Arabidopsis thaliana: one gene and its partner. The protein of the gene in region 2 binds, or shares a complex with, the protein of the main gene of each other region. Each region holds a gene or a part of one and is shown on either strand. Other genes may lie near its edges.

Evidence for each region. The genes of interacting proteins can lie anywhere in the genome.
Region 1: CIPK16 (region 2) and CBL9 share a complex: the UniProt entries of both Arabidopsis thaliana proteins name them as parts of the K(+)-channel calcium-sensing kinase/phosphatase complex.

Annotation. Positions count from the first base shown.
Region 1 is NC_003076.8:19,130,547-19,134,303, forward strand, and holds the start of CBL9 (calcineurin B-like protein 9), read right to left. Parts: upstream 1,759-3,757; 5' UTR 1,562-1,758; intron 1,331-1,561; 5' UTR 1,182-1,330; coding exon 1,103-1,181; intron 720-1,102; coding exon 637-719; intron 314-636; coding exon 254-313; intron 159-253; coding exon 50-158; intron 1-49. Other genes in the region: LIL3:2 (Chlorophyll A-B binding family protein), read right to left, coding at 3,672-3,757. UniProt on the Arabidopsis thaliana protein: Acts as a calcium sensor involved in abscisic acid (ABA) signaling and stress-induced ABA biosynthesis pathways. Contributes to the regulation of early stress-related CBF/DREB transcription factors.
Region 2 is NC_003071.7:10,671,237-10,674,993, forward strand, and holds the start of CIPK16 (CBL-interacting protein kinase 16), read right to left. Parts: upstream 1,657-3,757; 5' UTR 1,375-1,656; coding exon 674-1,374; intron 15-673; coding exon 1-14. UniProt on the Arabidopsis thaliana protein: CIPK serine-threonine protein kinases interact with CBL proteins. Binding of a CBL protein to the regulatory NAF domain of CIPK protein lead to the activation of the kinase in a calcium-dependent manner.

The sequences.
Region 1 (3,757 bases), on a different chromosome or scaffold from region 2:
GCTTTAGAGAAACGACGATGGATATAAACTCGTTTATGGGTCAACTTACAGTCTGTTTTCTCCTCTAGGGAAGCATTAGGATGGAAAACATTGAGTGATCTCACAAAGTCTCCAAAATCAATTACGCCTTTTCGTTTAACATCAAATAAATCAAATATCTGGAAAAAAGAGCATTACCATTAACTACTTATAATAGAACTAATCGTTACGACTAACTACAAAGTTACTAAGGCCAAAGAAACTTAGAATTTACCCTATTGGCAAACAAATTTTCTTTCTTTCTGTTCTTGAACAAAGCAAGTTGAAACTCTTCCTGCATAACAAGTTGGTCGAGAAAATAAGTAACAATATCCAAGAGTGGGCCAAGAAAACATCAATTTTTATAAGCAAACCAATATAAAAAATGGAATTAAAATTCAAGTCAACTATCATCAACACAGAGACTTGGTGAGCAATAAGGAGCCCACAGCTCAGCATGGAGATTCAATAATAAATTTGTGAAAGTCAAGAAAGTTGACAAATAATACGGAATATGGATAATGGTGCAATGAATATTATTATGTCACTGTACATCACGCATTCAAGATTCTCCCATGAGGTGCGAAATAATCAAAGGGCTATGAGATTTATCATTACCTTGTTTATCAAGCCATCGTCAACAACCGAGCTGCTTATGCTCTTGAACAATTCATACAATGCTTCAACTTCACTAACACTAACTAGAAAAACAAACAAATAATTAGCCACACTGCGAGATTTCTCATCAACATCATGTATATCACCAAAACAAAAATCGAAAGTGATGGTTCTTGAAAACTTTCTCTGATTAAGATTCCATTTGAAAGTAGAAGTAAACTACACTAATGATCCAAGAAACTATTGAAATAGGTTTATGTGATGACTTAAGTAACAACAAGCATCATTTAACAAAGTTGTAGATCAAATAGATTATGAATGAAAGAACCATTTTTCGGATTCAATAAATGGCGAAAACAGATTCTCATATCAGTTAACAATTGATAAAAGAGAGATCTTTATGCTCATGCTCTTTGAGAATAAAGCAAAGAAGAGAAAACGAAACGTATAGTGCAAGTAAACTTACAAGCAGTCTCAGAAGCAAGCTTCACAGGGTTTTCGTGATCGGGAAATTCTCTGGCAGCCGTGGAATGGAAACAACCCATTTACGGATGACAAGAGTAAAACGAAGAAGAAGAAGCTTGTTCCGGAGGTTGATAAAATCGCCAAACTCTACTACAATTTCTGAGATTGTGAAAAAGCTTGATTTCTGATATTACTCACTCCCCATCATCATCATAAGCATCTTTAAAAACTACAATGATTCAATCAAAAACAAAACCCAACAAAAATTGAATTAAAAGACGAACACGATAATTGAATAAGTATAAACCCTAGAAAAAATAAGCAGCAGCTATGTGGCAATCGAATTCAGATTAACAAAATTTTGAATATTAAATCGGAAATTAAACAGGTAATGTAGGAGCGGCTCGAGAATCTCCGAACCCAGAAACTGAATGGTGAAATCGAAAAATTGAGCACTTACCACCGAGAGAACGGGCTCGCCGGCTCGGTGAGAGAGAGAGAGGAAGGGATTTTGATTTTTGAGAAACGAGAGAGAGACGAAGAAGAAGATCTCTGACCACGATGGTAGATGAATTGATCGGACGGCTGAGATTAACTTCAGACTTTGCTGGGCTTTTTTTGTTCGTCAGAGGCCTCCGATTGGGGAAATTATGAGAGAGTTTGTTTATAACATGATCGTCGCACGTGTGAGGGTCTGAACGCGTGTGAAACACATCCTTGTCATTTTTACCTCTTTTTTTCTACCAACCCCATTTTTATTTTATTTTTATTACAGTGTGGGAAGAAAACAAAGCCATTATTGTTGTTTGACATTTTAGTTTCGAAATTTCAACTTTCAACTTTCCTTTTTTATTGGTTAAGAAAGTTAATCATTTTTACAAGTTTTCTTACAATTCTGCAATGATTTTGTTTTGTTTTTGTTTTTTTATTAAAAGAAAAATATTTAGACTCGAATTTTGTTTTTATGTAAGTTTATAACTGTAAGAAAAAAAAAGTGTAGAGAGGTAACTAGTACTTGTAGAGTCAAGATTTAACATACTCAAAAGATACTAAGAATGATATTTATTTGTATAAGATATAATTTTCAAATTGGATCTTTCATTTTCATAATCCATACAGATGTCAAGATCTCATAGTCTTCAAGATCTTGCAATAAATAAATATTAATATGATAACCCAACTAGCAAGGGGACTAATTACTGTATTTATCTATATATTCAAGATTCATGTAGAGTGTGTTTGATAATAATTTCAATATGGGTCATATACCTTTTGGGATAAACGAAGAATTATAATAATTCTGGTCACATTTTAGTAGTCTAATCAATCACGTAGGACAAACAAAAATCCAATAGTATAAAGGCGGTCTAAATAAGAATTATGGATTAACATAATTACTTTTATATAAACCATAAGACATGATCTAATCATGTATATTATCAAATTTTGAAACTAATTAAGTACGTACGCCATCCAACAATCCAATAATGTAAACTATATAATGTTCGCCTAAAAAAAAGAAATGGATTAGCATATCCATAAGACATGGCCAAATCATGCATGTTACGTATATTAAATTTGAAACTGGGATCCTGGCTCTAGTAAGAGTGGTTTATAATTTTATATTGGGTTTAGAATTCCAAATTAAATGGTCAAATTCTTTCATTCCAATACAAGCAGAAACTTTTATGATAGTAAAAAGATTATGAGAAGACTTATGAGGTGTTAAGAAAGTGGGAGATGTATTATGAGGAGGAGAGATTATGAGTATAGTAAAAAGATTATGAGAAAAAAGATTATGACAATAGTAAACAAGAAGGTCCATACAGTATCCATGTTTTTCAAGAAAGTGGGAGATGCCAAAGTCCTGGACCTAATATTTTTGTTTTAAGTTTTGATAACTAACTAATTTTTTTTAAATCAGACACAAAAATAAACATAGACTGTTGATATTTTAGAAAATTAAGATCTATTAAAAAAATATTGTATTTTCTTATAGATAAACAAAAAAAACTTTTTTTTTACTAAAAGACTAATATCAAACTGTCCTAAGGTCCCTACTAATTTTGGGCCGGTGGTCCTGACAAGTGACAACAGTTTAATGGTCCATTTTGTACTTAAAATTGAGTCAAATTAGTTGCGGCAATAAGAGCAGAGCAGTAATGTGTTACACCCTTAAAGGACGTTAGTACTGAAGCCCAAATTCTTTGGAGGTTGGTTGGTTGGTTGATGAAGTGCGGTTTTGATTAATTCACAAATATGACTTACTTGATGACTTTTCACAAACATCCATCTGGAAACGCTACTATTTGATGATGTATTAACAGTAGAAAGCATATTAAAAAAAATAAAATCTCTTATTGATTAAATTATCAAGCGTCAAAACGAAATAGGTCTGCTTTACAAGTCAAAGACCTTCGATACATTATCTTTGAGACTACTTCATAGAGATTTTTAAAGCAGAAAGATTACAAAATCTGAAGATCAGTAGTTCAGTAGAGATAAACTTTCACTGATTCACAGATTATTGCATAACAAAAAAAGGAAAATGAAAGATTGTAAGAACTTGTTCACTTCTTTGAAGAAACTGTTGATGAATCTGGCTCTTTCCATGCAGCTTGCCATTGTTTGTCATATAACGTAGTCTCATCGAACA
Region 2 (3,757 bases):
CCTTGAAGATCTTCCTGTTTATTTCGAAAGGTTCAATCAAACAAGAAACAACAATGAGAATTTGATCAATTCACATTCACATTCAACAATACTAATATTTGAATTTGTAAGAAGAGCACTATTTGAGACCGTTATTATTGGCGGGAGTTTTATAAATTATCTAGTAAAATACGGGACGTGAAATTTTGATAATATAGAACTATAATGAAATATACGATCGACCAACATTTATCGAATTTGATATCAGATTAATGTACCTAAAATACCACCCGAATATTCACAAATTGATAATAGTTTCAATATCTTGGAAAATATTGTATAATTTTGAGTAATTATTAAAATTTGAATTACGTGAACAAATAATTCAAATACTATATATCTTTTCTTTTTGTGTGTGTAAACTTTCAAATAGTATATCTTATATCCAAGTTTTGTATCTATTGGTACAAGTTAAACTGTCTCTTTCAAATAATATTTTATTTAACCAAAAATGATTATTATTTCTTTTTAACATATATAAGTATGTGATGTAAAATTGAGATGCATCTAGAAACCCAACTCAAAATGGACTACTTTGGCTTTTAGTTCAATATTTTTTTGTATCTCACTATTCGTCAAATAAATAACAAAAACAAATACGGTTTGGGCCAAAACCTGGTCAAGAAATACTTACGTGTACAATGTCATGACGTTTTCGTCGATAAACGGCAAGAAGCCAGCAAGGAGTGCATACAAAACAATCCCGCACGACCAAATATCAGCCATAGCTCCGTCGTATCCTTTATTCCGTAAAACCTCCGGCGCCACGTAAGCCGGTGTCCCGCACCGCGTATGTAAAAGATCATCGCTGCTACCACGCCTGCCACCTAGCCCTTCTGGCATCATCAATGCGGAAAGTCCGAAATCCGTTACCTTAAGATCACCTTCTCCGTCAAGCAACAGATTCTCGGGTTTAATATCGCGGTGGAAAACACCGCGGCTGTGGCAAAAATCCACCGCGGATATCAATTGTTGGAAATACTTTCTGGCTAGATCCTCCGGGAGCTTCCCATCTCTATCGATCATTTCGAAAAGCTCTCCGCCGTTGACGTACTCCATGACGAAGAAAATCTTCTTCTTTGTAGCCATTACTTCGCGGAGCTCGACCACGTTTGGATGACGGAGGAGACGCATGACGGCGATCTCTCGTTCGATTTGCTCCATCATGCCACGACGTTTGAAAACGTGGTCTTTTTTGATGACTTTGATTGCCACGTCATCGCCGGTGGAGATCTCTGTTCCGTGATACACTTTGGCGAAGTTACCGGTTCCGAGAAGTCTTCCGATGTTGTATTTGTCGAACAAGACAGTACTACTACGGTTTGATTCTTCCATTGTCTTTGTCTGACTAGTTACAAGTATATGTGAGACTAATTATGTGGAATTTTGTGATTTGGTTACATATCTATATATATAAGCAGAAATTATTTGTGGAATTTTTTTATTTATAATGTTGTCTACTTTGTTTGATATGTGACGACTAAGTGAACTGTGAAGAAATGTTCTAATCTTATCTAAACAAAGTGATGTGCCTAAGATCTGGCAGCTAGCATAATTAAATACGACCAAAGCCAAAAGAATAACCAAGACGAAATTGATTCGCGAATTGAACTAAATCGGGGTTTGCTATTTATGTTGAGTGCCTAAAAAAGGGTTATAGAACATGATAAAACTAGATATAATTAACAAACTAAAGCATGAAAAATAAATATCTCGAGTTACGATGCAATGATCATAAGAGAATGATTTCAATAAAAGTGTAACAGGTGATTTAAATCCATTTCTATGTAAATAAATCCTTTTTTTAACCAGTTAAACAATGGTCTCGCACATTTCTGACCATGTATTCATGTAAATAAGTTCTTAAAGTTTTCAGAATAGATTTTAAAAATATAAAAGTAACTCTCTTATCCTTATACAAAAATTGTGGACGCCATGAAATTGACGTGGAATCGCCGTTAATGCTACGCATGTTTTGAAGTAGATACGCATTAATTAAAAATAGTAAACTTGTCCCGATAAAATTTCAATGAACTGTCTTTTTTTGGTAAGGCAAGATGTGACCTTTTCTACTTGGCCCTTAAATATTTTTAAAACAATTTCTTGACTTATTTTTCATAGAGGAATTTTTAATTTCTTTCGAAAAGCTTTGACTCTTTTCCTAGTTGGGACGATTGTATCGGAAAGTGGTCATTTCTAATACGTCCGTGAATCTATCGACCAAATCTTCCTTTCTACATCTTTGCTAATTTCTTGGTTTGATGGATTCTTCATATTTTGCTACTCAAAACAACACACTCAATTTTTCCAATTGTTTTCTTACAATTTGATGATTTTTCTACATACATGAAAATCTCATTATAACCGTGTATTTGGGTGGGATACTGTTATTTTCCTCTATCATAATCAAAGGTACATCTTGTAAAGCTAAATCTAAATTTTAACAAAAAAAAAAGAAGCTAAATCTAAATTTGTTCGATTTAAAGATCAGGATTATTAAGATAATATATAACTAATCATTTTAAGGAACATGTATAACAAGTCCAAGAAACTTTGTGATGTGTCATGATTTGGACCCACGATTAATGACAACAATTATGTTTACACAAATGTTAATACTCTAACGAAATACTATAACGAGTTTTACCCAAAAAAAAAAAAAAAAAAAAAAAAAAAAATACTATAACGAGATATGTATTTAAAATTGAAGAGTAAAAGGGTAACATCACAAACATAGTACACTATTTTGTGGCTAATTGGGTGATCACAGACATATATCTACTTATCGCGCTGCATTTCCGATTGTTTGTTATTTTCGGGTGATTAGGTTGTCGAAACTAGCTGCTAAAACAAGCCATGCCGTGAATTTTGCATCACATTGATCAGTCAAATTTCAAGCAGTAGTTGATTGGAATATGCCCTAAAGAGTGAAAAGATTTGCAAATCCACCTAAATAAGCCATCGTTTGTGCTGCACATGGTTTAAATGTTGCATTACTTAATTAGAAAACAATTTGATCAAATGCATAGGAGTTCTACTTCGAACGAATCTAAAGATGTTACCTCATCTACCTTATGTTTTCCTGATGATAGAAGACCCCCTTACCTAAAAATGTTGTTCAAGGGTAAACAATAAATACATATATATACATGAGTGTGTGTGTGTGTACAAGCACGATTCATATTATATGTATGTTGCCAAAACCTTTGCTATTTGATGCACAATATGTGATGATGTAAACTTTATATATAAGTACAGAATGTTTGAATGGAGCTTAGACAATTTCTTGAACCAGAGAAAATAAAATAATAATTGGTGTTGTTGATAAAAACTCAACATGCCAAGAAAAACAGATTGCTGAAGTATGGATCTTCAAATTCTATCATTTACATAAATTAAAATGAGTGATCTTGCAAGGAAAAATGTGAAGAAAAATGGAAAATAAGAGTTCTTTGTAAGAAAGGGGAAGTTTTATTGAAATGAAAATATTGAAGACTTGGTAATAAAGAAGAATGCAAAAACCGTGAAGAATCCTACACAATTTTGTCTACTTCTTTTTTTTTTCTTTACTTCAAAAGTACAAAATTTTCTCTACTTTCTGTAGCTTCTCTTTTTGTTAGAAAGTTGATAAATCTTTGCAAAGGACGACTGTACTGGTCTGAAAGATCCATGTGACAGAACGAACTGTTAGATTAAAAATAATTACGCATTTACGAAC